2 linked regions of the Lonchura striata genome follow. The protein of the gene in region 2 purifies or fractionates together with the protein of the main gene of each other region. This does not show direct contact. Links are inferred from orthologs where the notes say so. Each region holds a gene or a part of one and is shown on either strand. Other genes may lie near its edges. The genes, in order: RPAP2 and protein UXT.

Region 1 (15,642 bases), on a different chromosome or scaffold from region 2:
CCTATGATTGAAAGAAAACCTTTTAAACAAGCACTAAATGCAAGTCAGTGTACTAACACCTTTCAGTATGTAAAAGATCCTGCAGGAAAGCCACTCATATTAATAAACTAAATTTGGAAACTGAAGGTGATAACAGAGTGATTTATATTACTAGCTCCATATAATTCTTCTGTGGAGTTTTAAGTGGAGGTTGCAGTTTTTTCTATCAAAGGAATTTCAAATATTCTAGTATGTCAGTGTGTATGGGTGTGTGCACATGTATGTGGTTGTGCGAAGAGGTGTAGCTAGCCAAGAACTATCTGGGAGTTTGTTTGTTTGTTTTTTGAAAATACCGCCTCCCCACCAGCACCCAGAATAAATAATTAACTATGTCAGACATAAAAGAACTATACACTTTTTATGTGAAGAATAAAGGGAGATTTTAGAAACAGTTTTCTTAAAGACAGCAAAACAATACCTCAAAAGCATCGGAAAACTTAAATGACAAGTCTAGTTTTACCTACTAGAATACCTCAGATCTGATGGGGCTGCTCTAAAGCTCTTCTGTCATTGATGATCTATTTCATTTGACACATATAACTCCAGCTAGTTTCTTTTGTTGAAACCCAGGAAACTATGAGAAACAGTGTCTTGGAGAATGACAGCTGAGTAAATTTGCTGAACATTCTCTATGCCAGTCTTTGTTGTTCAACAGTGACACCCATTGGCTCCATTGACTATTTGCAAGCCCATGTTTTCTGAGATGGGAACATGGACTGCATACTGTTCCAATATGCGTATTGCAGGAAGAACAAGAAATGGCCAATCAGAAATTTAGACTGGATATAAAACCTCTTCATGTTATAGATTGCTTTCAGATGCAAGCATTCATTGTCTACGCTTAAGATCAATGCTAAGTGCTATGCTAAAATTAGAAATCTCTTGTAACAGTGTAAGATTATTCCAACCCATTTGTAAAAATTCAATCCTAGTCAGTCCATTTTAAAGTTAAAGGACTTAATTATTATTTCTGACTAGTCTGCCCTCTAAACTAACATGGTCATGTCTGCTAAGTAGATGAGAGTAGTACTGAACCAGGCCAATTACTGTAATCCATACAGCTTCAACACTTTTAGAACAGACACCATGCTAAGCTAATATGTCAACATCAGCTACCTCTGCTTCAGCAAAATCATTTTGATGTGCTGCAGCTCTTAATTACCACTGTAGACACATAGAGAAATAGTATTCTCAAAAGGTGTATTGAATGTATAGGATTATACTTACTTTTCTTCTTCTCTCATCCACACTGGACTTTTGGAAATTTGAGCTTCAAAATATTTAGATGCTCTATAGCAAAAATTGCTGCAAAAGCACTGGCAATGAGAGAAAGCAAGAACAACTAAGACGAATACACAGAAAGGTACAAAAGTAATTTATTTTAATGTCTGTAAAATTAAGTACCAATTAATGTTTCTTTTCAAGCCTGTGGCCAGGTTTTTAGTTCACCTGAGAAACCCAACCTATCAAATAGGTCTATCCCCTTCTGCACAAGCCACATTCAGCTGCTTCTTTCCTTTCCATTTTTCTGCTTCCTGAACTTTTATTACACACTGAGAAGCAAACCAGTGTTGGATTCTATGCAATAATAATAATTTAAAAAAAACCCCAACAAATCAAACTGTTCAAAGAGGAAGCCATAACCCAATATGCTGTTCATACACTTTGAAAGACATACAATAAAATTCAGATGTTTAATAATGAAAATTTTGGTTAGCAACAGAACTCGCTATTTTGTAATACTTAGAACAACACCTAAAAATCTGCAGCATCTTTGAAAAATTGATTTGCAAACTTGCATTACAAGGGAAGAACACAAAGTATCCCACATCTTGTTGGAGTCTTGCCTGATTTCTCATGAAAGCAATTACTAAAATTTTGTGTATCCCAAAGTTTTAATCAGAGGAAAGGAATGCATGCTAATGACACTGAAGAAATTTGTTCTGTAACTGGAAACGTTTATGTTACAATTTAGTGTCTACGTGCCTATAGGTGATTGTGTATCCTGTGAAATGGCAAAGATGACTTATGCAACCACCTGTGAACATGCTTCCAGAAAGAAACATTTTTTGAAGAGTTAAGTTTTATGTTGAAAAGTCCTCAAAAGAGAAACCTAAATGTTCCCCAGAAAAGAACACTAAGGGATATGTAACATGTAACTTGTACTACATTACTGCAGACTTCAGTGATTGAAAAGGATGTGCACTTTGACCGTACTAAAGCTCACTAACTATGCTGGAGCAAAATAAAGAACACTTCACAAATGCCTTTAACAGAGCACCTGTGTGACTTTCAAATGGCTATCCAAGTAAAATTTTCCATCTTGTGTTTAAACTTTGAAAACACATGTATTTTGTCTCACCAAAGATATCATCTAGGAAGTGAAATGCACAAAAAATTTCAACAGTTTGTGAAAATCTTTTTCATAAGAACCAAACATATTTGTCTCTGAATCAAGCCATTATATGAATGCTGTTACACAATGCATTTCTGATGTTGCCAGCATTAAACACATTCTAGAAATACACTTGTTACCATACCTTTCTTTCAGTGATATCATAAACTCTGTTCGTTTTTGTTGAAATTCTGTACTTCTGCTTTGGCACCTAAAATAATATAGTTTAATCAGCAAGACTGTCAGTTCCATCATGACTACAGAGAAAACTTCATTCTTAGTTCACGTATTTGGGTATGTACAAAATATTATATTTAACTGAAATGCATACTACAACCACCTCAGTTCTTCTTATGTTGCACCTTCTCAGATGTAAGAATGGCAGTTTATCTTTAATCATACACACCTCATTAATCAGTAAAAGGTAGTTCCACAGCTATAAGAAAACCAATGCTGAACATAAAACAATGTTATGGCAGAAGCTTTCCTCATGAGTAAGTGCTGAGCAATTACAGACAAGGCCTTCCTTAATCCAGATCTATTTATATGCATACGAAACTGAACTGTCAGACCTGAACCACTACCCAGCCATACCCAGATGAACCTATGCAAACTGTTAACAGTTTTGAAATTAATATCTGTGCAAAGAGATAAAGTCCAAAACAGTAAATTGTTTTGTACATGAGTAGAATGTTTTCAGATGTTTTAATGTGTAGCACTGGTGTTACATCACAGGTTATCTAACTGACCTCTGAGTTCTGCTTAAACTCTCATGCATCATACCTAAAGAGGGGTGACTTTCATATTGACACAGCTGATATACATTTTCATAGGAGATATATATGCATTCACATAATAATATCCCTGCATTGTATTGTTTTTTCACTTTAATCCTTCTCATAGACATCTGTTGCTACACTGACAGAAGAACAAGATTTCAAAGTTTTTCCATTCACAAAGGAAGGCCATGAAGCCATCACTCGTTCATCTTTATCCCTGTCAGAACAGACAGATGGATTGTGATTCTGATCATACAGTAACTGATTCTGGCATACAAGAACTGCTGTCTACTGATGAAATTTCACCTTTCACTTCAGAAGGATTATACTGAAATATATAATGCCTGGCTCCTTACTTGACAGTAATCTGTGCTTAATATTCTAAGTTTAAAATTAAAAAAAAAAAATGCAAGACAATAAAAATTGTGAAAACATTCCTTTGATAACACCATTAAGGAAAAGCAACTTACATTTTCCAGTCTCTTCTGACATAGAGGATAACCACATAGTTTGATGATAGATCGCTCATCAACAACATCTTTATAGTGAGATGGAGTAATACTTTTTCCCTAAAATGACAAGAAAATAGTTCAACAACAGATACTGGAAAACTTGCCAGTTTTTGTACTCAAAACATCTCTTAAGCATGTAAATACCTTAAATTTTATAACAGCTATCTATTAAGTTTAATAAACAATACTGAGAACCTACACAGTAGAAAAGGTAAAAGGGTAAATAGGGAAGGAAAACAGACCCAGGCATTTCTTTTTTGCATATACAAAACCTTCACATTTTTGCCTCTATTTATGTGCTGTGTACACCTATTAATCAGCCTATTTACAACCTTAACAAGAATAATCATTATACCATTCCAGCAGAACTCTGCTGCCAGATAACTGTGGTGCTTTATAGAGACTTTGTGTAAATTTACAGACGGTATGATGTAAACCTAAATTTTTACAGTTCATCTGTCAGTCCAGAACCACAGAAGTATCAACATGGGCTCTAATAAGAGTGAGGATTCATTAATGTACACAGTCCTGCAAAACTAGGGCATGTTTTCACTGCAGAACCCTTAAAAATATGGAGACTGTTATCAGAGCTGGTAGAAGAAGGAATCAATGGTTTGGCTATTTTAAACTGTAGCAAGTTATTCCAAAATCTGTTAAAAAAGTACCACACTAAGATACAAAACAGTAGAAAAACTTGCAACACCTACACAATTTAGAAGGAACTCTTCAGTAATGTCCTGTTCCAGGAGCTGCTCAACAATAGACAATGCTTTTTTCTCACATTCAATCTTCTTTCTCAGTGCAGCCTCCAGAGCTGCTTTCCTGTAACAGAACAGAAACTGAATGATACAGAGGGCAGATTTCCATAAACAGTTCTCCAATTATATTTTTATCTTTTTTTCTGAAATACAGCTTACATTTTTTTGTATCACACCATGTTGGCCAAACAAAGCAACAAGTAACTGGACTAGTAATTCTGTTGCTACAAAAACAAATACCTCCTCCTGAGTGGTTTTTAAATGAAAATAATTATAAATGGCAGAAGTTATGTAAAGAAGTTAGGACAGCCAAAAGCAAGAACTACAGGCTAAGGAAATACAATTTTGGACATTAGATTACGAACTTTTATTATATTATGCCATGCTCAGATGTGCATGCTGTTAGAAGTTACACAGCACCTCTCCAAACATGTCCTACATGATGCTGATGCTGGTGATTTACTGAAGTTAATCGTGGTACTCTGAGAAAGCAAAGCCTCTGCAGCACAGAGACTGCAATTTCAAAGTGAGCCAAAACAACACAAATATCTCATATTATTCCTCAGAAATTATACCTTTGAGCAGCATCTTCATTTTTCTGAGCAGCTGAATGCTTATTTCCTAAGAATCAAATATACAGATATCAAAATTAGTGTACTTGCTTAACAGCAGATGTTGGAACCTGAAAAATATGAAAACCTCTAAACTGTAAGCACAATTAAGATAATTTCTTATTATTGCTTTTGCTGGCTGTGATTTCAGTAAGCTGGTATTCAGCAACCAGACACACTTTAAAAAGTGTGAAAACAGGCCCAACGCTTCTTATACTCTCATTCACCACGTTCTGTATGCACAAAAAAGAGAAAACATTCTGACAATGGCGTTGTGCCAGCCACACCCCCCGTCTCTCCAGGCGGTAAAGCCCAGTTTTACCGCGGCGCCCCACTGCCGTCCCCACGGCTGCCGCGGGGCAGGGCTGAGCCAGGGGCCAGGTCCAAGGCCTGACACAGAGCCGCTCCCTCCCGGGACGGCGCCCGGCCCGGCTCCCCACACGGGCGTCCGCGCAGCCGCTCCCCTCCGACACGGGCAAAGGCAGGGGCGCACCGGGCTGTCACCCTGGCAAGGACGCAGCGCCGCGGGCAGGGCTCGGCGCTCTGACGGCACGACCGCCGCCACAGCCCGTCCCCGATGCTCAGAGCCGCCGCCCCGGCCCCTCACAGCCCGAGGGCACGGCGGGTCCTGCCTCGCCCCGTCCGGCGCACCGCTCATCGCGGCCCCGCACCCGGCCCGGCAGAGCCCGGCAGAGCCCCGCAGAGCCGACCACGGCCGGCCCGCGCTCCCCTCCGCTTGGCTTGGGCGACACCGCCGCCGTGCCGGCCTGCGGGCACAGGGAGAGCCCAAAGCGCAGCCGGGGGGAGCGGGGGCTGGCGCGCGGACCCCGGCGCCCACCTGCGCGCCGCCGGCGGGACTTGCCCGCCGCGGCCGCCATCATCGCCGTCAGCGCCGCTCCGCCCGCCGACCTCTCACCCGGGGCGGGGCCGGGAGAGGCGGCAGCGCCGGGCTGAGGGCTTCCTCTGGCAGGGGCTGAGCTGAGCTGAGCACAGGCGGTGCCGTGCCCTTGTGGCTTGTAATTCAGCCGTGTGTTACAGGCTTTAGCTGGCAGCCTTTTCGTCCCATCCTGGCTGTTGTACCGCCCAGAGAAGGGGCTGGGGTATCTGTTTATTAGAAGAGAGTTTGGTGAGTATTAATAGAACGTTTCACATGATTCAGACGCTGCTCACTTGCCGCTGAAACCTCCTAAAAGATTCACTTGGAAGCCGGATTAAGTATTAAGGCCGGAGACCATCTGCGAGCTCAGCCAGCAAATCCATGCAACACGGTGGGTGCCTGGGACGCGTTTCAAGGCTGTAAGTACATTGTCAAGTTACTGAGGGCTGCTGTTCGAAAGTATGTTAAATTGTTTTGGCGGGATTAGTAATAGTCTGTAAAATGAAGAGTTTAAATAGTACAAGATGTGGTAAGAAAGTATGTGGTAATGATCTGGTTGAAATGACAGGCTAGAAAGGATAGGTTTCAGTGACATACAGGTGTCAGAATGGGCCCTGAAGAATAGGAAGTGAGTTGTTTATTCTTTGAATAAAGAAGGTCATACACAGATGCCTTTTAAGCTTTTGTGAGTTGTCGCCTCTTGTGAGCGTCTAGATAGGTTCATTATCTGTGTGTTGTCTCATTTAGGTGTGCTGGCAATTGGCCAGCGTCAACCCACCACTTTAGGTAAAACTAAGAAGAAAGGCTCAGGACATTGCATGGAGATGCCTGTTTTGATGAATAGTTGCCTAATTAACCAGGTGTAGGGGTAATTGACAATCATAGTGATAATATAACCAGGTTTAGGTCCATGGCATTACTTAAAACCATAAAGATTATGACTGCTGCTATGATATATCACATGGGATAACCAGGCTTGATTGCATTTTTAATTCATGAGCCTGGCTACATAAAACTTGGTACATACTTGACATTACTCAAGTGTATAACTTTGTTGTTTTTAGCAAGAAAGTTTTAAATTTTAATACCTAGAGGTAAAAAGCCACTGCACTAGTCCCACCTAGACACTAGAAAGAAATAAGTGAAACTGCATATGTAATCTTCACTGGACTGTTGATATAAACAGGCATGGTGTTTGAATCAGTGCCTTCACACACCAGATATCGGGTTAGTGTGTTCCAGTCAGGGCTGAGCAGAAGCTCCTCTGGTCAGAATAGGCACAGAAAATGTAGTGTGTCATGGGTGTGCCTCCTTGGCATGCAGTGAGCCCAGACTTGCTCTGTGTTAGCTGCAGTTTTCCATGTCTGTGCCTGCAGTAGTCACTGAAACCTTCACACTTCTTAAGATGACCCAGATAGTACTTGAAAAATTATTTCCCTGTACATAGAATGCATGTTGTTTCCTGTCTGTAATACTGTTTCCTGCTAATATGGGGAGTAGAATAATATAGCATACACTTAGTAAAAATGAATTTTCCCTTATTTGCTAATTATGTAGTCTTTATATTTGTCTAGATTGTTCTTGTTCCCCCATTAACTTTTTTTTTTTTGATAATGTGATTATTTTTCAGCCTCTGTTTTAAATCCGTGTAATATAATACTGCCCTCTTTAATTTATAATAAATTTTCATGCTGGAAGAACACAGTCAAACTAAAATGGCAGTTGATGAACTTCAAGACATAATACAAAGATGTGTAAGTAGTTTTCCTTCCTTAGAAGTAACAAGTGTCAGTAGTGCGAGTTTCTTTTCATATATTAGAATTAAAACCAAAATTACCTCAAAAAACAAGTCCACTGTTAGTAGAACTCTTCATGGAACAGCTAAGTTGAGCCTCCATGTTTCATTGCCTTCTCTGTGGTGCTTATCCCAAGATGCTTGATTATTTCTGCTTCTTGGAGAAGGAGGTGTGTACCTAGGAACAAAAGCTGGTAGTTGTAGAAAACACATCTTCCAAACAGCAAGCTGTAATGTAGACTTAGTGCTATTGAAATACTGCCCTGTCTTCTGTAGTAACTTGGTAGCTTTTTTAGTAAGTTAAAAATGTATAGAAGTTACAATGATATTACATCTAATTTTGAAATGAAAGCATGGATTTTCTTATTTCTTAATTGACTTTGCTAAGTATGAGGTTAAACATTCATATTTTCTTTCTAGCAAATTCTGGAAGAAGCTGATTTCAAAGGAGAAGATTTCAATCTGTTTCAGGTAGCAGGTCAGAAATGTTTGGAAGATGGATATGCAGCTCAGTTATTAGAAGTAATTCAAAATGAGAAAAACAAGGTGAGTTTAAGTTTGCACTGCATAGTAGTGTTTATTAACATTAAATATAAAACTGCTAATTAAGAGGGGAAAGCTACTTTCTCTGTGGAGCAAGGCTGTACATAAGAGTAGCTAATAAGTTGCCCTGTGTTAAGTGCCCATTATTCTGTATTCAGGTATCTTACAGAAACCCAAGTCACAGTAATCTTAACAAAACCATTAATAACTCTTCTGTGAGTGAAGCAAAGAGAAAAGGAAGTAGAAAAGCATAATTAGGAGAAAGTGGCATGTCCCACTTCCACAGGACGGGGATTTCAGATGGTGTACTAGGTCTGGCTGGCATGGAGTTGGCTTTCATCATGGCACACTGCATAGTGCTGTGTTTTAGATTTGTGACCAAAAAGGTGCTGATAATACATCAGTGTTTCAACTACTGCTGATCAATACTTGTGCAGCATCAAGGCCTTCTCCCTTTCTAACTCTGCTCCCAGTAAGCAGGGAATTTGGGAGGAGACACAGCTGGGACAGCTGACCCAAAGCAGTGAGATACTCCACAGCATACAACATTGTGCTCAGCAGTAAAGACATGGTTGGGGACCCATTCCGAAGTAGCTGTTGTTTGGAGGCTGGCTGGGCATTGGTCTCATTGTGGGAGTTGATCTGCATCATTCTCCATCATGCTCTGCTGTCTTTTGTCTTTCACTTATTACTTTATTACTTTATTATCTTCAGAGTTCCTCTGTTTTGTCCTTTTGATTCTCACCACTATTCCCACTGAGGGACAAGAGCAAGCAAGCAGCTTAGGGGTGCTTAGTTGCTCTTGGGGGACAGCCTACCACAAATGGATATAATAATATTGGCCGACTGTAGGAGCCAACTAGGCTGATGCTAATCTGAAATACTGATGTCTGTGGGCATTAGGGATGCTGGGACAATATACCAAACTGAGAGAGATAAATAGGAAATTCAGAAAGAAAGGCAGGGGCAGAATATTTTAGCAATGTTGCATGGAGTTCAGAATCTGTTACATGGGTTTCACAATCTGGTTTTGAATTTTGTGAGTTTGGAGTAACAACTGAAAATCTAAATCCCTTAATGAATAATTTTTTCAAGTGTTCTTTCAGCAGAACTCCTCTGCTCAGTCCCATTTTAAATGTATTGTCATGCATGTTTAAAAGTATATATTGGTATGTTAATAATTAGAAGAAAACTATACAAAACATGCATCTGTGTTTATAGGTATGGGGACAGAAAAGAGTGTGTGTCAAATTATGGTAACAGTTGCTAAATATTCAGTGATAGCAACTGTAATGGTTACTGTCCAGGACACTGATCTGTTGTTGTCTTTGGTCTTTATATACACAATCTTTCTGGGTTTAGAAGACATCCAGCTTTGGTTTATTCTTCAATATCTGGTTTTTAGGTTATCATCAAGAATATGGGTTGGAATCTCATTTCTCCTCTTGTTAGATGTATTTTTATATACAAACAAGAAGATGATAAGCGAGAACACTGCCTGAGGATACTAGATCAGTTGGCACAGGTATGGTACATGATTATGATACAATAATGTTAGGGAAGTTCTGCACAAAAAGGGATGCTAGATCATTAATCCATGAAGATAGTACACCAAAGGCCAGTTACACGTTTATACAATTTGATTCTGACAATATTTGCATAATATCTACATCACTACTTGGGTAAGCTGCTCTTAGTTTAACATTCCCTCACCTCAATTGAAAGGTACAGAGAATTCTATGCATGGTGTGTGTTCAGTGGGTAGGGCTCTTTGTTTGGAATTGGTAGGCTCAGCCTCAGAGGTATGTTTTTCACATGAAAATGAGCTAAATTAATCTGAAGGACACAATTTAATCTGAGTTAGCTAGCTTGAGTAAAACTTACAGTATGTTGCTAAATGTGTTTTCTAGTATCTAATTCAAGGTCTCTCTGTTCATGTTCTCTCTTTAGTTGTTTCAAAACTGTTCTGCAAGACCTTGCCATTTTCCACTTATCTCTGTCTGAATAGTATTTATTGTTCTCTTTTCGGTGATTCACTTGGAAAAGTCTTATTCACCCTTCCTCAAATGAGAATCATTACCTGATGATTCTGATGGAGTAGAAGCAGAAAAATATTTTAACCTGTAAAAACTTATTCTCTTTCATTTATGCACTTCAAAACCAACTTGCAAACTTTATAGCTTGAGTTAAATTCCGACTCAAATTCTACTTCTCTCTTTGCTCCTGAAGATCAATTTGCAAAGGTACTCTGAGGTTTTTACAGCCTATTAAAATCAGGTTTAGTGTCAGTTTTTATGATTATATGTTTTCAGCTCATATGAAAGTGTACATACAGGTATGCTCTACAGTAGATGTTAATTGTAGGCATGTACTTATGGTTTCATATTTGTTTTCTTAAATCTAATCTTGGATGTTCAGATCTTCTCTCTTGACATTCAGGAACTTCTGTATTGCATGTGATTTATTTTTTTTTATTACGACCATGATTATTTAAAAATACGAATTGTTCCTCTCTTGCAGCTTTGCAATCCAAAGGAACTTTTTTTGGGTTTACTTGAGCAGATTGAGCAGACCTCTGGAGAGCAAGTGTGTCAAACTGTCATGTTATTGCTTCAGCCTTTGCAGACAGGTGGGATTAAGTTTATTTTGTGATTTCTGAATTAAATTATTTTCTCATTTATTTATCATTTTATTTTAGCCTTTGCTGGAATGGTTTCAGAATCAATCCATCATGACAAAGCTTTACTGTCCATTATATTCTGCAACATAACACAAGGCATAAATTTCATGCTTATATTGGCCTGTTAAAAAAACATTTCTGATAGAACTAATAGCAGTAGTTGAAAAAGCAGTGTTCAGCTATTTTTTTAATCATTTACAAGAATGTGGTCCTATGACAGTTTTATTTAGAGGTGTAAAGCACTCCTACTGTTGTTGCAGAAATAGGAAATCACATGGATTTGTTAAATTCTTCATGATTTGATTTTTAAAATATGCAATTCTATGTTTTTGTAGTATAAAATTGTAATTTTGATTGAAGCATGTTGAAATACTTTATTGGTGAGGGGGTGAGTGTTATTCTGGCCTACATATGAAAATTTAAAATGTTGTGTGTGGCCACTCTCTAAGTGGGTAACAAGCAGTAGTTTCTGTTTTGTTATATGAGAGGAAATTAAGTATTGTGTATCAAATTGAAGTCTGATTGTAACAATCTCCAGGATATGTTATTGTATTAGATTAGAATTTAACAAGAGAAATGCGTGGTTTTTTGGGTAGCCAATCTGCAATTAGTCTTCACTGGGTTCAGTTAAAGTGGAGAGCCTCTTGTTCTCCTTCCTCAGCCTGGGAGAGTGTCTGTTATTTTTGCCATGGAGTAAAAACCAGAGTCAGTTCTCAGCAGAAAAGCTGGGCTATTGTCTCTGGTTTTGGTAAGCACAGGAGTCAAGTAACAAATGCATTTTCCTGGTCAGATATGTATCATTTTACTTAGCCCAGTTCTAGAAAACAGATTTTTTTTCAGTCCTAATCCTGGTGCTGTGGAGAAAGGAAGAACATTAAAATGCAGGACAGATTTAATATTTGTTATTTGCAAATACCTGGCCATGTTAACTACAGTGTATTAAACCAGGTGATTGTGTTTAATCTTGCTGGATTTGCTCATGTGATTTCAGGTATCAGTCGCTCTTCTTCCCTGAAAACAAAATGTTTCCTTACCTAGTCATATTATTTTTCTTCATGTTTTCCTCTACTAAGTAAGTGATAACTTAATGCCTCAAAATGTTCTCTCTTCTTTTCCTCTTTTTTGTTTTCTTTCCCCAGTGCTTTTGAAACTTCAGAACAAGAAGGCCTACTCAGTGGGTTTGTCATTGGCCATGATTATGAATCAGCTCTCTCCCTTACCTGTACCTTACACAAAACAACAAATAGAAGAAGATAAACTTGGTCTCTGTCAATGTTGTAATGCAGTGGTGGACTTTGCTAAACCTTTTGTGAATGAAGTTGTTAAAAATATAGAAAAGTCATCAGAATACAATGATGTGGAGCTGAAAGAAGAATTAATAAAATTGTGAGCGTTTTATGTCTGTGCTATATATTCCTCTAACTTAACAAAATGAATAGTAGGCATTTATTATATAGGCAGCAAATAAATAATCTTTTAGAGTTTTATAATGCTGCCAACATATATCTAACTAATGTGGTATTTTGACAAAGAACCCCTAAATAGATCTTATATATTTATGCATTCTGTTTAGTAGAGGGAAATGGTAAAGAACTATTAGCTGCTGCATTGTGAAGCTGAGTTGGTATTCCTCTGTTCCTCAAATTTCCAACAGTGAGTATAATCATAGTCTGGAGGTGAAGTCTAAGTAATGCTTCTAGAGGAGATGTTGGGGTTTTATTTTTTTTATTCTCCTTGGAATACCTTGAATAGCAGCAGCTGATATGAATATAGGCATTATTCTTGGTCATCAGTGACGCTATCACAGTCTGTATTTATGACTGTATTGGTGATTTATTCCACCCCTTTCTTTTTCAGCTGTATGAGAAGCCTGAAATACCCACTATTGACAGCTCAGCTTGAACAACTTGAGGGCATTGAAGAACATCCTTTTCGGCATTTTGCAACTGAAATTATAGTGAGTGCAGTGGAAATGAATTAAATGTGTGCAGAACCAGTGGTCTAGTTCACAACTACCTCTAACTTGTTCTAGTGCTCATTTTGATTTCTGTATTGGTTAGTGAGGTGACTTAATGGGCTGTGTAAGTTATATCCTGTTGGGCACAGTCTGAAACCATGTTTTTATTTATAGCTTTAAGTAGTAAGAGCTGAAGCTAAGGTCAGCAAGTCATGCTTAGACTGTATTACATCTTGCATAATGCTAATTTTCTAAAATGTGCCTTCCTGGATGTTGGGTTTGGACAACTCCAGAATAGTGAGCTGACCTTGATCTCCCCATTTCTCTGTAACATGTACAAGAGGAGTCACACTATGTCCTAAGCCACGTGAAGGGCGTGAGGGGGTAACCACTGTAGTATTTCTGATGTACAAATGTCAGGTGTTCCCTGTGTTGTGCATCATGGGAAAGAAAGGCCATACAAAGCAAATCTATCTTGAAATCAGGGCTTGCCTTTTGCAGCTAAAAATTGTGTTCCACATTGATTAGTAAGGAAAAAAACAAAATACTGAGTATTCTGTGATCTGAAAAACACTGAGATTTTGTAACATAATGTTTTCATGAATCTGCTGTTACTCACTGAGGATAAGGAAACTGAACTAGGAGTTTGCAGATGGTCTTCATCCTCTTTTGCTAACTTTTGTGTCTTTGACTTTGCTATCTTAGTAATGTTTTTCTAACACTAGTTATTTTTCCTCCAGATTTTTGTGTGTGTTTGTGCATATATCATAAATCCCACATATGTATATTAATTTATATATTACAAACGTAACATTTACATTAATTTATATGCATGCTGTACAAGAGAATGTATGTAAATACAGTTAGAGCTTTAAAACTGAGTTGGCATACAGTTATTTTAGAGGCAACTATAGGAAATCTGTTTTTATTTTTTAGGACATTTTGTGGAATATAGGAGAATTGATACCATTAGTGTTTGTACATCATAAAGGCAAAAGTCCACACTGGGAGAATCAGGAGTTTGCAGACATAGAGCAAAAGAATTCTGCTGATTCTTTGGCGAGTTTGTCATATCTGGTGTTTGTTCAGCATTTTGGTGTTGAATGCTTTCCAGTGGTTTTTAGGTAAGAATCATTCTTTCTTGCTTATTGTAAGTCTGTACTTTGAAGATTCTTTCTGAGTGGAAGAGAACTTTATTTGTGAATAGTTATGAATGAAAACTGCATTTCAGTAGTAGTAATTTTATGTCAATATTTATGCATTTATATTTTATGTAACTTATGTTATATAAAGAACATACTCCTGCAGATTAATCTAGTGTAGTTTAATTTTAGATAAGCTGTCCTTTAAAAGAAACTGTGATTAGTCACATGCTGTATTAATTGTTCATTTACATATCTATAGACAGTTTCCCTATAAGAGTTCTTGACAGTGATTTGACTTAAATTTTTTTGTCTATTTAAAAAACAATAATTTTAGAATGAGATTTTAGTTTTTTAAAAGAATATGAATCCTGTCAAATATATGAATTATGTGCAAATGTATATGGCTTATGCAGTTTAATGTAGCTGGATTCTTCTCTTCTAGTCCTTCATACCTTCTGCTGTGCAATATGACACATATTGAAATGCTGCTGAAAAGGTAGGGTTTGTAGAATTTGCGGGTCTAGATAGTGTGATCTTTTACAGTAATGCATAAAAACAAATTTGAAATATAGATTCAGAGGAGGTTTATAAGTTGGAACATTAAAATACAAGTTTCGCTGTAAGATGGCGTCTCGTATTAAGAAGCAGAAGTTGTCTAAACACTTATGTATTGTTTTCATCTTGTATTTTTAGAAACTTTATTATGAACATGTAAAATTGGTAAACACATGCAGAATAATTACAGTGTATACTTACTTGCCCTTCTATAACAATTATTACCAAAGGCAACTATTGTGAAAATATTTATTTGAATGCATTCTGACATGATATGCAAAATTATTAAAGGTCAGGCTTTCTAAAGGAAACCAAACTTGACTATATATTGTTATTATTTTACCTTCCATAAGCAGCAGTGTTACCAAATAGCCCCTAGCACTGCTGTGGAAGGCAAGTTTCCTATTCTGACTGCTTACCATTTCATTTTCTTTGGTAATCAACGTCTCAGTACCTGTGGGAGATGACACTGCTTTTGAGCATGTATAAATACTGAGGGGAAAATAATTTTTGACTGTGAAGAGATGAGCCTAATGTTCAATTTCTCATCAGCAAGTTTATTCTAAAAATCTTTGGGAAGAGTAATAAAGATTCTATATTTTAAAAATGGAATGAAAATTGTTGAGGGACAAGTTCTTGTTGACGTCTGTTCTACTATTTCTTCGGAAATATCAACTATCTTTTTAATTCACAATTTAAATCTGATTTTTTTTCTAGAACAGAAGAATCTGTATTATCTAAAGGACTAGTAAGTTGTTTTTTTAAATTAAATTTTCAATGTTAGGATGTTTTATTTTTTCAGTGTAACGAATAGTAACATTTTTGTTTCTCCTTCTTAGAGAGGTATAACTGATAGTTCCAGATGATAGTTCCAGAAATAATTTGAGGCTTAATTAAGTATGCTTCAGTCTTACAAATACCTGTATCTATTGAACTTTACAGTTCTGTGTAAATGTTTAAATTACAGCTATCACTTATAAATGCAGCTGCTTGGAA
Region 2 (15,191 bases):
TTTCACTCAGGAATTACTCTGGGGTTACTCCCAGTTCACTCAGGAATTACTCCAGGGTTACTCCCAGTTCACTCAGGAATTACTCCGGGGTTACTCCCAGTTCACTCAGGAATTACTTCGTGGTTACTCCCAGTTCACTCAGGAATTACTCAGGGGTTACTCCCAGTTCACTCAGGAATTACTCTGGGGTTACTCCCAGTTCACGCATTAATTACTCCGGGGTTACTCCCAGTTCACGCATTAATTACTCCGGGGTTACTCCCAGCTCCCTCCTGTGCACCGCACAACCCCCACTGCAGCTGTACACACAGGTGTAAAAACCCTGCTTTACTCCAGCTCCCCGGTGTAAAAACCCTGATTTACTCCAGCTTTACACGCACGTCACTCCCAGGTGTAAAACCCTGATTTATTCCAGCTCCCAGGTGTAAAAACCCTGCTTTACTCCAGCTTTACACACACGTCACTCCCAGGTGTAAAACCCTGATTTATTCCACCTTTACGCACAGGTTACTCCACGGTGTAAAAACTCCATTCGATTTGTGTTTTGCACACAATTCACTCCCAGGTGTACAAACTCCATTTTACTCCAGTTTTACACCCGGGTCACTCCCAGGTGTACTAACTCCATTTTACTCCTGTTTCACACACACATCACTCCACGGTGTAAAAAACTCCATTTTATTCCGGTTTTACACATGTGTCACTCCCAGGTGTAAAAAGTCCGTTTTACTCCTGTTCTACACACAAGTCACTCCCTAGTGCAAAAATTCCATTTTACTCCCGTTTTACACACCCAGGTCACTCCCGGTGTACAAACTCCGTTTTACTCCCGTTTTACACCCAGGTCACTCCACGGTGTAAATAACTCAATTTTACTCCCGTTTTACACCCAGGTCACTCCACGGTGTAAATAACTCAATTTTACTCCCGTTTTACACCCAGGTCACTCCACGGTGTAAATAACTCAATTTTACTCCCTTTTTACACACACAGGTCACTCCACGGTGTAAATAACTCAATTTTACTCCCGTTTTACACCCAAGTTACTCCACGGTGTAAATAACTCCGTTTTACTCCGGTTTTACACCCCGGTCCCTCCCGGCGTCGCGCTCAGGGCTCCGAGGTCCCGGGGGGCTCCTGCAGCCCCTGCAGCTCCCGCAGGCCCTGGGGGAGGGGCAGAGCTGGGGGCGGGGCCTGGAGAGGGGGCGGGGACTGGAGAGGGGGAGGGGCTTGGAGAGGGGCGGGGCCTGGAGAGGGGGAGGGGCAGAGCTGGGGCGGGGCCTGGAGAGGGGGCGGGGCCTGGAGAGGGGGCGGGGCTTGGAGAGGGGCGGGGCCTTGAGAGGGGAGGGGCATGGAGAGGGGGCGGGGCCTGGAGAAGGTGAGGGGCTTGGAGAGGGGCGGGGACTGGAGAGGGGGCGGGGCCTGGAGAGGGGGCGGGGCCTGGAGAAGGTGAGGGGGCTGGAGAGGGGCGGGGCCTGGAGAGGGGGCGGGGCTTGGATAGGGGCGGGGCCTTGAGAGGGGAGGGGCATGGAGAGGGGGCGGGGCATGGAGAAAGGGGAGTGGCCCACAGAAGAGGGCGTGGCCATGCAGGGAGGGGGTGTGGCCAATCACGGGGCGTGGCCCACAGGAGGAGGTGTGGCCTGCAGGAGGGGGCGGAGCCATGCAGGGAGAGGGCGTGGCCCACAGGAGAGGACGTGGCCTTCAGGGAGGGGGCGTGGCCTGCAGGAGGGGGTGTGGCCTACAGGGAGAGGGTGTGGCCTGCAGGAGGGGGCGTGGCCTACAGGGAGAGGGTGTGGCCATAGAGTGGGCGTGGCCCACGAGGAGGAGGCGTGGCCCACAGGAGGGGGAGTGGCCCACAGTTGAGGGCATGGCCATGCAGGGAGGGGCGTGGCCTAGATGAGAAGGCGTGGCCCACCGTGGGGGGCGTGGCCATACAGGAAGGGGCGTGGTTTGCAGGAGGGGCGGGGCCATTCAGGGAGGGGGTGTGGCCTATAAGAGGGGGCGTGGCCCACAGGGAAGAGGCGTGGCCATGAAGTAGGGGGTGTGGCTTGCAGGAGGGGGCGTGGCTTGCAGAAGGGGGCATGGCTTGCAGGAGGGGGCGTGGTTTTGCAGAAGGGGGCGTGGCCACGCAAGGAAGGGCGTGGCCATGCCGGAGGGGGCGTGGTTTGCAGGAGGGGGCGCGGCTTGCAGGAGGGGGCGTGGCCATGCAGGGGGCGGGGTTACCTCCAGCACCAGGCGGATGTGGGCGCGGATCTTGGCCCCGTCGCGCGTCAGGGATTCGCTGAGCCTGCGGGGGGCGGGGCTTAGGTGGGAGGGGCTTGGGAAGGGTGGGGTCCCCCGAGTGGGTGTGGCCTGATGATTGACATGGCAAAACCACGCCCTTTTTGTCATCAGGATGGGGGCGTGCCTTCCTGTTGTGGGGTGGGCGTGGCCTGGGTGGCGTGGGCGTGGCCTGCGGGAGGCCACGCCGTTTTGGCCATGGGGCGGGGCGGTGATTACCTTTTATGGTGTGGGCGTGGCCTAAGGGGGCGTGGTTTGCCCATCTGGGGCCACCTGTGAGCACAGGTGAGCGTAAGAGGGCGTGGCCTGGGTGGGCGTGGCCTAAGTGGGCGTGGGCATCTCCTCCCACCCCAAAATCCATGGGAATGGGGGCGTGGCCTAAGTGGGTGTGATCCAAAATGGGCGTGGGCCCCTTCCAACCCAAATACAACGGGATTGGGGCGTGGCACTGGGTGGGCGTGGCCTCAATGGGTGTGGCCTCGATGGGCGTGGCCTAAAAAGGGGCGTGACCAAGGCGGAGTGACCAAGGCCCAACACCCAGCACCACGGGGTGTGGCCGGGGGCGTGGCCGGGGGCGTGTCCAGGGTATGGGGGCATGGCCGGGGGCGTGACCAGGGTCTGGGGGCGTGTCCAGGGTCTGGGGGCGTGGCAGGGGGCGTGTCCAGGGTCTGGGGGCGTGGCCGGGGGCGTGACCAGGGTCTGTGGGTGTGGCAGGGGGCGTGTCCAGGGTCTGGGGGCGTGGCCGGGGGCGTGTCCAGGGTCTGGGGGCGTGGCCGGGGGCGTGTCCAGGGTCTGGGGGCGTGTCCAGGGTCTGGGGGCGTGGCCGGGGGCGTGGCCGGGCCGCCTCACCTCTGCAGGAGCGAGCTGCGGCGCTCCAGGTGCCGCAGGGCCTCGGGCAGCGTCAGCTCCACGAAGAAGCCGAAGCCCAGAGCCACGAAAACGCGCCGGGGGTCCGGGCTGGGGGGAAAAGGGGTCAGGGGGGCACCCCGAGGGGTTTTGGGGGGGTCCCAGGGGTGGTGGAGGCTCAAAGGAAGCCAATTTTGGCGATTTAGGGGCTCCCTGGGGAGGGTTTGGGATCTCAAGGGGAACTCCGGGGGGAATTGGGAGTTTTCTTTAAAGGGGATCGGGGTCCCAAAGGTGCCCAGGTTGGGCCTGGGGAGTTCTGGGGGGACTCAGGGGAGTTTTGGGGTTCCTGCAGTGGATTTTGGGGGTCAGAGATGGTTTTCGGGGGTTCTGAGGAGGTTTTTGGGGGTCTGAAAAGGTTTTTGGGGGTCTGAGGAGACTTTTGGAGAGTCTGAGGACGTTTTTGGGGGGTCTGAGGGGGTTTTTGGGGGGTCTGAGAAGGTTTAGGGAGTCTGAGGAGGTTTTTGGAGCTCTGAAAAGGTTTTTGGGGGGGCTGAGGAGGTTTTTCAGTGTCTGAGGAAGTTTTTGGAGGGTCTGAGAAGGTTTTTGGGGGGGTCTGAGAAGGTTTTTGGGGTTCTGAGGAGGTTTTTCGGGGTCTGAGCAGGTTTTTGGAGGGTCTGAGGAGTTATTTTGGGGTTCTCAGGAGGTTTTTGGGAGTCTGAGGAGACTTTTGGGGTGTCTGAGGAGACTTTTGGGGTGTCTGAGGAAGTTTTTGGGGGGTCTGAGGAGGGTTTTGGGGGGTCTTAGAAGGTTTTTGGGGGTCTGAGGAGGTTTTCGGGGGTTCTGAGGAGGTTTTTGGGGGTCTGAGGAGGTTTTTGAGGGTCTGAGGAGGTTTTCGGGGTGCCAGCCCCACTCACACTTCAGCACTGACGAAGAAATTGCAGCCGAGATCCACCTGGGTGTGCAGGGGGGCGTCGACGTCCTGGGGACCCCAAAACCCCCCGGGACCCCCGGGGTCACACAGAGAGCCCCAAACACACCTGGAGAACCCCAAACACCCCCAGGGACCCCAAATCCCAACCCCCAAACACCACTGGGGACCCCAAATCTACCCAGAGACCCCCAGTCCCTCCCTCACAAGACCCTCAATAACCCCTAAATCCCCCCGATATTCCTCAATTCCCCCACAGGACCCCCAATAACCCCTAAATCCCCCCGATATTCCCCAATTCCCTCACAGGACCCTCAATAACCCCTAAATCCCCCCGATATTCCCCAATTCCCTCACAGGACCCTCAATAACCCCTAAATCCCCCCGATATTCCCCAATTCCCTCACAGGACCCTCAATAACCCCTAAATCCCCCCGATATTCCCCAATTCCCCCACAGGACCCTCAATAACCCCTAAATCCCCCCGATATTCCCCAATTCCCTCACAGGACCCCCAATAACCCCTAAATCCCCCCGATATTCCCCAATTCCCCCACAGTACCCCCCATAACCCCTAAATCCCCCCGATATTCCCCAATTCCCCCACAGTACCCCCCATAACCCCTAAATCCCCCCGATATTCCCCAATTCCCCCCCAATTCCTCCCAAAACTCCCCACGAGGCTCCCAGAAATCCCCCGCACCCTCCCGGAAACACCCCGATACCCCCCTAAAACCCCCTCCAAGCCCCCCAAATTCCCATCCAGGCCCCTCCCCAGGCCACGCCCCCCGCACCTGCAGGCGGGCGAGGGCGGCGCGCAGCTGCAGCACCTGCGCCTGCTGCTCGAAGACGGCGTCGCGCTGCTCCTGCACCCGCCTGCGGGGGGCGCTGCTCAGGGGGCGTGGCCTCGCCCGGGGGGCGTGGCCGCGCCGCGAGGTTAATGGTGGGTGTGGGAGTGGGCGTGGTTTTTGTGAATGGGCGTGGTCATCATGTGGAGGGTGTGGTCGTGAATGGGCGTGACTTCGTGGTGAATGGGTGGAGTTGATGGGGGTGTGGCCAAAAATGGGCGTGGCCTCAAAGTGAAAGGGAAAAATTTATGCAAAGCCGTGGCCATAAAATGGGCGTGGCCTCAAAGCGAAAGGCAAAATTTATGCAAAGCCATGGCCATAAAATGGGCGTGGCCTCAAAGCGAAAGGCAAAATTTATGCAAAGGCGTGGCCATAAAATGGGCGTGGCCTAAAGCTGAATGGAAATTATTTATGCAAGGGCGTGATCGTAAAATGGGCGTGGCATCATTGTGAGTGGGTGGGGCTGATAAAGGTGTAGCCAAAAATGGGCGTGGCCTCAAAGCGAAAGGCAAAATTTATGCCAAGGCGTGGCCATAAAATGGGCGTGGCCTCAAGTTGAATGGAAATTATTCATGCAAGGGTGTGGCCATAAAATGGGCGTGGCATCATTGTGAATGGGTGGTGCTGATGAGGGCGTGGCCATAAAATGGGCGTGGCGTCGTGGTGAATAGAAGGCATTTAGGTAGGGGCGTGGTCACAAAATGGGCGTGGCCTCAAAGCAAAAGGCAAAATTTATGCCAAGGCGTGGTTATGAAATGGGCGTGGCCTAAAGCTGAATGGAAATTATTTATGCAAGGGTGTGGCCATAAAATGGGCGTGGCCTAGAGGTGAATAGGTGGGGTTTATGCGGGGTGTGGATGTGAAATAGGCGTGGCCTCAAAAAAGGCGAGGATTTATGCAAGGGCGTGGCCATAAAATGGGCGTGGCCTCAAGCTGAATGGAAATTATTTATGCAAAGGCGTGGTCATAAAATGGGTGTGGCCTCAAGCTGAATGGAAATTATTTATGCAAGGGCGTGGCCATAAAATGGGCGTGGCCTCAAGCTGAGTGGAAATTGTTTATGCAAGGGCGTGGCCATAAAGTGGGCGTGGCCTCAAGCTGAATTGAAATTATTTATGCAAGGGCGTGGCCATAAAATGGGCGTGGCCTCAAGCTGAATGGAAAATATTTATGCAAGGGCGTGGCCATAAAATGGGCGTGGCCTCAAGCTGAATGGAAATTATTTATAGATGGGCGTGATCATCAAATGGGCGTGGCATCATTGTGAATGGGTGGGGTTGACTTGGGGGCGTGGCTTCAGAATGGGCGTGGCCTCGAGGCGAAACGAAATCCCGCCCTGACCCTTAGATGGGCGTGGCCAGGGCGCGCGTGGGCGTGGCCAGGGCGCGCGTGGGCGTGGCCATGGCGCGCGTGGGCGTGGCCAGGGCGCGCGGGAATTCCGCACTGCGGCGTTAACGGGGAGGGGGCGTGGCCACGGCGCCGACCCCGCGGGGGGCGTGGCCGCGGAATGGGCGTGGCCGCGGCGCGCGGGTTTGATGAATGAGCGGGGCCGGGGCGGGGGGGGCGCGGCCGCAGCCCCGCGGCGATGTCGCGGCGATGTCGCGGCGATGTCGCGGTGATGTCGCGACACGCCGCCTCCCACCTGAGGTCCCGCTGCAGGACGTCGCTGACGAACGCCTCGTAGCGCTGCGCCTTCCCCGCCGCCGCCGCCGCCATGCCGCCTCTGACGGCGGCGCCGGAACTGCGTCAGCGCCGCGCGCCGCCGGGCGCCCCCTGGCGGCCGGGAGGACCCGGGCTCCTCCCCCCCCCCAACCCCGCCCCTATGTCGCGACATGGCCGCCGCGCAATCGGCGGGAGAGCAGCCGGAGCGCCGCGACCTGTGCCCCGAGCCTGCCCCGGGTGTGCCCCATGTGTGCCCAAGTGTCCCCAGGTGTGCCCAAGTGTGCCCGGGTGTGGCCCATGTGTGCCCCAGGTGTGCCCAAGTGTGCCCAGGTGTGCCCAAGTGTGCCCAGGTGTGCCCAAGTGTGCCCAGGTGTGCCCGGGTGTGCCCCAGGTGTGCCCCGAGCCTGCCCCAGGTGTGCCCAGGTGTCCCCAGGTGTGCCCCAGGTGTGGCCCAGGTGTGCCCGTGTGGCCCAGGTGTGCCCCATGTGTGCTCAAGTGTGGCCCAGGTGTGCCCCAGGTGTGCCCAGCTGTCCTCAAGGGCACCCAGGTGAGCCCGGGTACCCCCAGGTGTGTCCAGGTGTGCCCCAGCTGTGCTCAGGTGTCCCGAAGTGTGCCCAGCTGTGTCCTCAGGCACCCACAGCTATGCCCCAGGTGTGCCCCACGTGTGCCCGGGTGTCCCCAGGTGTCCCCAAGTGTCCCCAGGTGTGCCCAGGTGTGCCCCAGGTGTGCCCAGCACTCCCCAGGTGTCCCCGAGTGTCCCCAGATGTGCCCGGGTACCTCCAGGTGCGCCCAGGTGTGCCCTGGCACTCTCCAGGTGTGTCCCAGCTGTGCCCTCAGGCACCCCCAGGTGTGCCCAGGGTCGCCCTCAGGTGTGCCCGGGTGTCCCCAGGTGTGCCCAGGTGTCCCCAGGTGTGCCCAGCACTCCCCGGGTGTCCCTGAGCGTCCCCAGATGTGCCCGGGTATCTCCAGGTGTGCCCAGGTGTGCCCCAGCACTCTCCAGCTGTGCCCTCAGGCACCCCCAGGTGTGCCCAGGGTTGCCCTCAGGTGTGTCTGAGGTATGCCCAGGTGTCCCCAAGTGTTCCCCAGCTGTGCCCCAGGTGTGCCCAGCACTCTCCAGATGTGCCCCAGGTGTGCCCAGCTATGTCTGAGGTGTCCCCAGGTGTGCCCAAGTGTGCCCAGCTGTGCCCCAGTGTGCCCAAGTGTGCCCAGGTGTGCCCAGGTGTGCCCAGCTGTGCCCCAGTGTGCCCAGGTGTGCCCAGGTGTGCCCCAGGTGCCTCCCCCACCCCATCTCCCCAAATTTTGGGGTCCCCCGGTCCCCCCCCACCGGAGCCACCCAGCGCCAGCAGCTCGGGGATTTATTGGCCCCGCCCACGCGGGCGGAAAGGGGCGGGGCTAAGCGGGGCGTGGCCGAGGGGGCGTGGCCAAGCGGGGGGCGGGGCTTACACACTCACGAGCACGCGCGGAGAGACACCCCCCCCTCAATTTGGGGGGGCGGGGGCTGGGGATTGGCAAACACAGAGCGGGGGGGGAGGGGATCCCCGGGGGATTTTGGGGGGTCCTGGGGGGGATTTGAGGGGTCCCGGGGGGGATTTTGGGATCCTGGGTGGATTTGGGGGGGTCCCGGGGGGATTTTGGGGGGTCCTGGGTGGATTTGGGGGGGTCCCCGGGCGGATTTTGGGGATCCTGGGTGGATTTGGGGGGTCCCGGGGGGGATTTTGGTATCCTGGGGGAATTTTGCGGGGTCCCTGGGGGATTTTGGGGGGTCCTGAGGGGATTTGAGGGGTCCCGGGGGGGATTTTGGGGATCCTGGGTGGATTTGGGGGGTCCCCGGGGGGATTTTGGGGATCCTGGGTGGATTTGGGGGGGGTCCCCGGGGGGATTTTGGGGATCCTGGGTGGATTTGGGGGGTCCCGGGGGGATTTTGGGGGGTCCTGGGTGGATTTGGGGGGGGCCCCGGGCGGATTTTGAGATCCTGGGTGGATTTGGGGGGTCCCGGGGGGATTTTGGGGGGTGCTGGGGGGATTTGGGGGGGGTGCTGAAGTCCTGGCACGCCCGGGAGGATTTTGAAGATCCCTGGGGGGATTTTGGGGGATCCTGGGCAGATTCTGAGGGATCCTGGGGGGAATTTGGGGATCCCTGGGGGGATTTTGGGGGGTCCTGAACACCAGGGGGTCCCCCCAGGTATTTTTGGGGTCCCCCGGGTGGGATTTTTGGGTTCCCAAGGTATTTTTGGGGTCCCCCCGGGTATTTCTGCAGTCCCCCCCAGGTATTATTGGGGTCCCCCCGGTATTTTTTGGGTCCCCCCGGTATTTTTGGGCTCCCCCCGGCTATTCCTGGGTTCCCCCCGGTATTTTGGGGTCCCCCCGGTATTTTGGGGTCCCCCCGAATATTTTGGGGTCCCCCGGGTATTTTGGGGTCCCCCCGGTATTTTTGGGGTTCCCCCGGGTATTTTGGGCTCCCCCGGGTATTTCTGGTTCCCCCCGGGTATTTTGGGGTCCCCCCGGTATTTTTGGGGTCCCCCCCGGTATTTTGGGTTACCCCCAGATATTTTTGGGGTCCCCCCGGGTATTTTGGGGTCCCCCCGGTATTTTTGGGTTCCCCCCTGTATTTTTGGGGTCCCCCCCGGTATTTTGGGTTCCCCCCGGGTATTTTGGGGTCCCCCCGGTATTTTTGGGGTCCCCCCCGGTATTTTGGGTTCCCCCCAGGTATTTTTGGGTTCCCCCCGGTATTTTTGGGGTCCCCCGGGGTATTTTGGGGTCCCCCCGGTATTTTTGGGGTCCCCCCGGGTAATTTTGGGGTCCCCCCGGGTATTTTGGGGTCCCCCCGGGTATTTTTGGGGTCCCCCCGGTATTTTTGGGGTTCCCCCGGTATTTTGGGTTAGCCCCGGGTATTGCTGGTTCCCCCCGGGTATCTTTTGGGTTCCCCCCGGTATTTTTGGGGTCCCCCCCGGTATTTTGGGGTCCCCCCGGTATTTTGGGGTCCCGGTGTCGGGGTCACTCGAAGAGGCTGGCGAAGCTCTGCCGCAGCGCCCGCAGGCTCTCGGGGGGGCCCTGCTCGGGGGCGGGGCTGCGGAATTTGGGGGTTCAGGGGGGGAGGGGGCGTGGCCTCGCCCCTCGCCCCTCCCCCCCAGCCCCACCCACTTACCTGGGGGGAGGGGCCCCGCCCGGTTTGGGGGCCAGCGCCGGTTTGGGGGCGAGGGGCGGGGCCTGGGGGCGGGGCTGGCGGGTGGTGGGCGGGGCCTGGGGGCCGGGGGGGCGGGGCGAGGCGGGGGTGGGCGGGGCTTGGGGACCGGGGGGGCGGGGCTGGGGAACAGAGGGGGAGCGCTGGAGGCGGGGCTGGGGCGAGGTGGGCGGGGCTTGGGGGCGTGGCTGAGAGGAGGTGGGCGTGGCTTGAGGGCGGGGCTGCGAAGTGGGCGGGGCTTGTGGGCGGGGCTGAGGTGATGGCGGTCCTTGTGGGCGTGGCTGAGGGGAGGTGGGCGGGGCTTGTGGGCGTGGCTGAGGGGAGGTGGGCGGGGCTTGTGGGCGTGGCTGCGAAGTGGGCGGGGCTTGTGGGCGGGGCTGAGGGGACGCGGCTGGGCCGGGTGGGCGTGGCTGTGCGGTGGGCGGGGCTTGAGGGCGGGGCTGAGACGTGGGCGAGGTCGGTGGGCGGGGCTGCGGGCTGGGTGGGCGGGGCTGAGCTGCCGAGGCAGCCAGGGGTGGGCGTGGCTGAGAGGTGGGCGTGGCTTGTGGGCGTGGCTGCGCAGTGGGCGGTGCTTGTGGGCGTGGCTGCGCGGTGGGCGTGGCTTGTGGGCGTGGCTGCGCGGTGGGCGTGGCTTGTGGGCGTGGCTGCGCGGTGGGCGTGGCTTGCGGGTGTGGCTGTGGCGAGCCGGGCGGGGTTTGTGGGCGGGGCTGAGCCGGGCTGGGCGGGGTTTGTGGGCGGGGCTGGGCGGGGCGGGCCGAAGCTCCTCCCATTTGTGGGCGGGGCTGCCCCTGCGGCTGGGGGCGGGGCTGGGCGGGGCCGGACGGGGGCGGCGCACCTGGAAGGGAGAGAAACACCTGAGGGGGCGGGGCCTGAGGCAGGCACAGCCCCAATTTGGGGCAAAACCCCCCAAATTTGGGGCGGGGCAGCCCTGGAAGGGCATCCCCGGGGAGGGAGGAGCTCCCCAAAATTTGCGCGTCTGGGAGTTTTTAGGAATGATTTTGACTTTTAGGATTTGGGGCAAACCTGAGGAGGATTTTTGGGGAACCCCCGATTTTCCCCCTTTTTAGTGGAAATTGTCACATTTTGAGCAAAAACAAATCCTGAACAATTCCAGGACGCAAATCCCCGAATTCTGGAGGCTCCCCCGGGTTTTTGACAGCTCCGAGGATTTTTTGGGGCGGGGGAGGGGAAGGAGGCCCCGCCCATTTTTTTGGGGTGGGGGGGCGGGGTCACTCACCCTGGGGCTGGGGTCTCTGCTGGGGGGGGGTCCCCGGCCGGGGGGTCCCCGATGTCGCCGACACCTGCAGGAAGGAGGGCGGGGCTCAATTTTGGGGAGGGGTCCGGGGGCGCACCTGGAGGGGGAGGTGGGGGAGGGGCGGGTACCTGTGGGCGTGGCCGGGCGGGGGAGGGGCTGCGGGGGCGGGGCAGCTCCTCCCGCATCCGCTCCAGCACCAGCTCCACGATCTGCGCCTGGTCCTCGGCCGCGCCCGGGCCCAGCAGCGGCAGCCACGAGCCCAGCACCTGCGGGGGGCACGGCCGGGCGGGGCTCAGGTGCGCCACAGGTGCCCCAGGTGTGCCCCAGGTGTGCCCCAGGTGTGCCCCAGGTGCCCAAAGTGTGCCCCAGGTGAGCCCCAGATGTGCTAAGATGTCGCTGGGTGTCCCAGGTGCCCAAAGTGTGCCCCAGGTGTGCCCCAGGTGCCCAAAGTGTGCCCCAGGTGAGCCCCAGGTGTGCCACAGGTGCCCAAAGTGTGCCCCAGGTGTGCCCCAGGTGCCCAAAGTGTGCCCCAGGTGAGCCCCAGGTGTGCCACAGGTGCCCAAAGTGTGCCCCAGGTGAGCTCCAGGTGCCCAAAGTGTGCCCCAGGTGAGCCACAGGTGTGCCCCAGGTGTGCCCCAGGTGTGCCCCAGGTGTGCCCCAGGTGCCCAAAGTGTGCCCCAGGTGAGCCACAGGTGTGCCCCAGGTGAGCCACAGGTGTGCCCCAAGTGAGCCCCAGGTGCCCAAAGAGTGCCCCAGATGTGCCTCAGATGTGCCCCAGGTGCCCAAACTGTGCCCCAGGTGAGCCCCAGGTGTGCCACAGGTGCCCAAAGTGTGCCCCGGGTGAGCCCCGGTGCCCAAAGTGTGCCCCAGGTGAGCCCCAGGTGCCCAAAGTGTGCCCCAGGTGAGCCCCAGATGTGCTAAGATGTCGCTGGGTGTCCCAGGTGCCCAAAGTGTGCTCCAGGTGTGCCCCAGGTGAGCCCCAGGTGCCTGAAGTGTGCCCCAGGTGAGCCCCAGGTGCCCAAAGTGTGCCCCAGGTGTTCCCCAGGTGCCCAAAGTGTGCCCCAGGTGAGCCCCAGGTGTGTCCCAGGTGCCCAAAGTGTGCCCCAGGTGTCCCCAGGTGAGCCCAGCTGCCCACAGGTGTGCCCCCGGTGAGCCCAGGTATGCCCCAGCTACACCTGGGCGCCCTCACCTGTCCCCAGGTGTGCCCAGGTGTTCTCCAGGTGCCCCCCAGCTGTGCCCAGGTGTGCCCAGAACACCCCAGGGGTGTCCCGGCTATACCCGGGTGTACCCAGGGGTGCTCCAGGTGTACCCAGGGGTACTCCAGGTGTACCCAGCTCTGCCCCCAGCTGTGCCCAGGTGTGCCAGCTGTGCCCAGCTGTGCCCAGCTGTGCTCACCTGCACGATGTGCTCCTGCCCGTCGGGCTCCCGCAGCGCCTCCACCCCGCAGATGTCGACGCCCCCGAAGAGGCCGGCGCAGGCGTCCACCCACGCCCGGTGCCTGCGAAGGGAAGGGGCTGAGGCCACGCCCACCGCCAGGGCCACGCCCACCGCCAGGGCCACGCCCACCAACCTGGACACGCCCACCACCCTGGACACGCCCACCACCCTGTACACGCCCACCGCCGTGGACACGCCCACCACCATGGCCACGCCCACCGACATGGCCACGCCCCGACATGGCCACGCCCACCACCCTGGACACACCCACCACCCTGGCCACGCCCATCGCCGTGGCCACGCCCATTCAACGGCCACGCCCATCTCCATAGCCACCCCCTCGCCGTGGCCACGCCCACCGCCCTGGCCACGCCCCTTTTCACCGGCTCCACCCTGTGCAAAAGCCACGCCCCTTTCCAGATGGCCACGCCCACTAAAGCCCTGCCCCAACCACAAGGGGATCTCAGGGGCACGCCCCTTTTTGATGACCACGCCCCTTTTAGTGGCCAATCACCGTTTGTGGCCACGCCCCCTTTGATGGCCACGCCTTTTTGGTGGTCACGCCCCCTTTTGATGGCCACGCCCCTTTTAGTGGCCAATCAACGTTTGTGGCCACGCCCCTTTTGATGAGCACGCCCCTTTTAGTGGCCAATCAACGTTTGTGGCCACGCCCCTTTGATGGCCACGCCCTTTTCGGTGGTCACGCCCCCTTTTGATGGCCACGCCCCTTTTAGTGGCCAATCAACGTTTGTGGTCACGCCCCTTTGGTGGCCACGCCCCTTTTAGTGGCCAATCAACGTTTGCGGTCAGGCCCCTTTGGTGGCCACGCCCCTTTCCATGTAGCCCCGCCCCCCCGAGCCCCTCCTGGCCCCGCCCCCTCGCACTCACCTGGGGCTGAGCGCCACCGGCTCCACCTGCGGCCCCTCCCCCGCCGCGGCCCCGCCCCCCAGGGACCACCTGGGGGGAGCCGGGGTCAGCAGGGACCCCCAACCCCCCCGGGACCCCCATGGCCCCGCCCCCCGCGCTGAGACCCCGCCCCAAAACGCGCCAGGCCCCTCCCCCAAACCCCGCCCAGGCCACGCCCACAGGTCCAAGCCCCGCCCCCAGAATGAACGCCACCAGTGCTCCCAGTGCCCCCGAATCCCTTCCCAGTTTGGCCCAGTTCCCTCCAACCACCTCCCAGTTCTTCCCAGTCCACCCCAGTTCCCCCCAGTGACCCCCAATCCCTTCCCAGTCCGTCCCAGTTTGTACCAGTTCCCTCCCTGTCCCTCCCAGTTCGTCCCAGTCCTCTCAATCTCTTCCCAGACCCCCCCAGTTCCCTCCCAGTGACCCCCAATCCCTTCCCAGTCCCCCATAATCCCTTCCCAGTCCCTCCCAGTTTGTCCCAGTTCCCTCCCAGTCCCCCCAATCTCCTCACAGTCCCTCCCAGTGACCCCCAATCCCCTCCCAGTCCATCCCAGTTTGTACCAGTTCCCTCCCAGTCCCACCCCAGTTCCCCCCAGTCCCTCCCAGTGACCCCCAATCCCCTCCCAGTCCATCCCAGTTTGTACCAGTTCCCTCCCAGTCCATCCCCATCTTTCCCACTTCTCTCCCAGTCCCTCCCAGTCCCCCCAATCTCCTCCCAGTCCCTCCCAGTCCCCTCCCAGTTTGTCCCAGTCCCTCCCAGTGCCCCCAGTCTCACCGCAGGGCCCTGTACTGGTCCCCGATCCTCTGCACCCGCAGCCGCTCGGTGCCCGCGGGGTCCCCGCCCAGCAGCGCCCCCGCCCGGGCCCCGCCCATGGCGGCCGCCACCGCGCCCAGCGCCTGCGGGGAGCCCACGCGCACCTGGACGGGGGCACAGGTGAGATTGAGGGGACAGGTGAGATTGAGGGGACAGGTGAGAGACAGGTGAGATTGAGGGGACAGGTGGGGACAGGTGAGAGAGATTGAGGGGACAGGTGGGGACAGGTGGGGACAGGTGAGATTGAGGGGACAGGTGAGAGACAGGTGAGAGAGGTGGGGACAGGTGAGGGGACAGGTGAGATTGAGGGGACAGGTGGGGACAGGTGAGAGAGATTGAGGGGACAGGTGGGGACAGGTGAGAGAGGTGGGGACAGGTGAGGGGACAGGTGAGGGACGGGGGGGACAGGTGAGGGACAGGTGAGAGAGGTGGGACAGGTGAGGACAGGTGAGGGACAGGTGATATGGAGACAGATGGGGACATGTGAAATGGGGACGAGGGGACAGGTGAGAGAGGCGGGGACAAGTGAGGGGACAGGTGGGGACAGGTGAAATAGGAACAGGTGAGGGGACAGGTGACATGGGGACAGGTGACATGGGGACAGGTGGGACGAGTGAGGGACAAGTGAGGGACAGGTGAGATTGAGGGGACAGGTGAGGGGACAGGTGACATGGGGACAGGTGAGGGGACAGGTGAGATGGGGACAGGTGAGGGACAGGTGAGACACATTGACCACACCCACTGAGCCACGCACCGAGCCACGCCCACAGAGGCCCCGCCCCCTCACCTGTCCCACCCCGGCGGGGGCGGGGCTGAGCGTCACCGTCATGGGGAAGGTGGGGGCGGTCAGCTGGGAACACCAGTGACACCAGTTAGAGACCAGTGACACCAGTTAGGGACCAGTGACACCAGTTAGAAACCAGTTAGAAACCAGTGACACCAGTTAGAGACCAGTGACACCAGTTAGAAACCAGTGACACCAGTTAGAGACCAGTGACACCAGTTAGAAACCAGTTAGGGACCAGTGACACCAGT

What was found.
Region 1: the proteins of protein UXT (region 2) and RPAP2 purify together in Homo sapiens (affinity purification with mass spectrometry; 4 studies listed by BioGRID and IntAct, counting the BioPlex papers as one, with this or other methods). This does not show direct contact. The link is inferred for Lonchura striata from reciprocal best matches to the Homo sapiens genes UXT and RPAP2.

What each region holds. Positions count from the first base shown.
Region 1 is NC_134611.1:20,520,074-20,535,715, reverse strand, and holds the start of RPAP2 (putative RNA polymerase II subunit B1 CTD phosphatase RPAP2), read right to left. Parts: upstream 5,999-15,642; 5' UTR 5,976-5,998; coding exon 5,933-5,975; intron 5,105-5,932; coding exon 5,059-5,104; intron 4,548-5,058; coding exon 4,433-4,547; intron 3,783-4,432; coding exon 3,684-3,782; intron 2,646-3,683; coding exon 2,580-2,645; intron 1,356-2,579; coding exon 1,267-1,355; intron 1-1,266. Other genes in the region: GLMN (glomulin), read left to right, coding at 7,660-7,725, 8,187-8,312, 9,715-9,834, 10,830-10,938, 12,129-12,375, 12,847-12,946, 13,883-14,070, 14,534-14,587 and 1 more.
Region 2 is NC_134638.1:950,483-965,673, reverse strand, and holds protein UXT, read right to left. Parts: upstream 6,632-15,191; 5' UTR 6,619-6,631; coding exon 6,545-6,618; intron 4,931-6,544; coding exon 4,849-4,930; intron 4,106-4,848; coding exon 4,041-4,105; intron 3,238-4,040; coding exon 3,130-3,237; intron 2,288-3,129; coding exon 2,224-2,287; intron 1,165-2,223; coding exon 1,111-1,164; 3' UTR 663-1,110; downstream 1-662. Other genes in the region: uncharacterized protein LOC110481730, read right to left, coding at 9,558-9,630, 9,771-10,579, 10,982-11,065, 11,128-11,265, 12,395-12,497, 13,325-13,393, 14,118-14,215; synapsin-1-like, read right to left, coding at 14,940-14,943, 14,975-15,006. UniProt on the Homo sapiens protein: Involved in gene transcription regulation. Acts in concert with the corepressor URI1 to regulate androgen receptor AR-mediated transcription. Together with URI1, associates with chromatin to the NKX3-1 promoter region.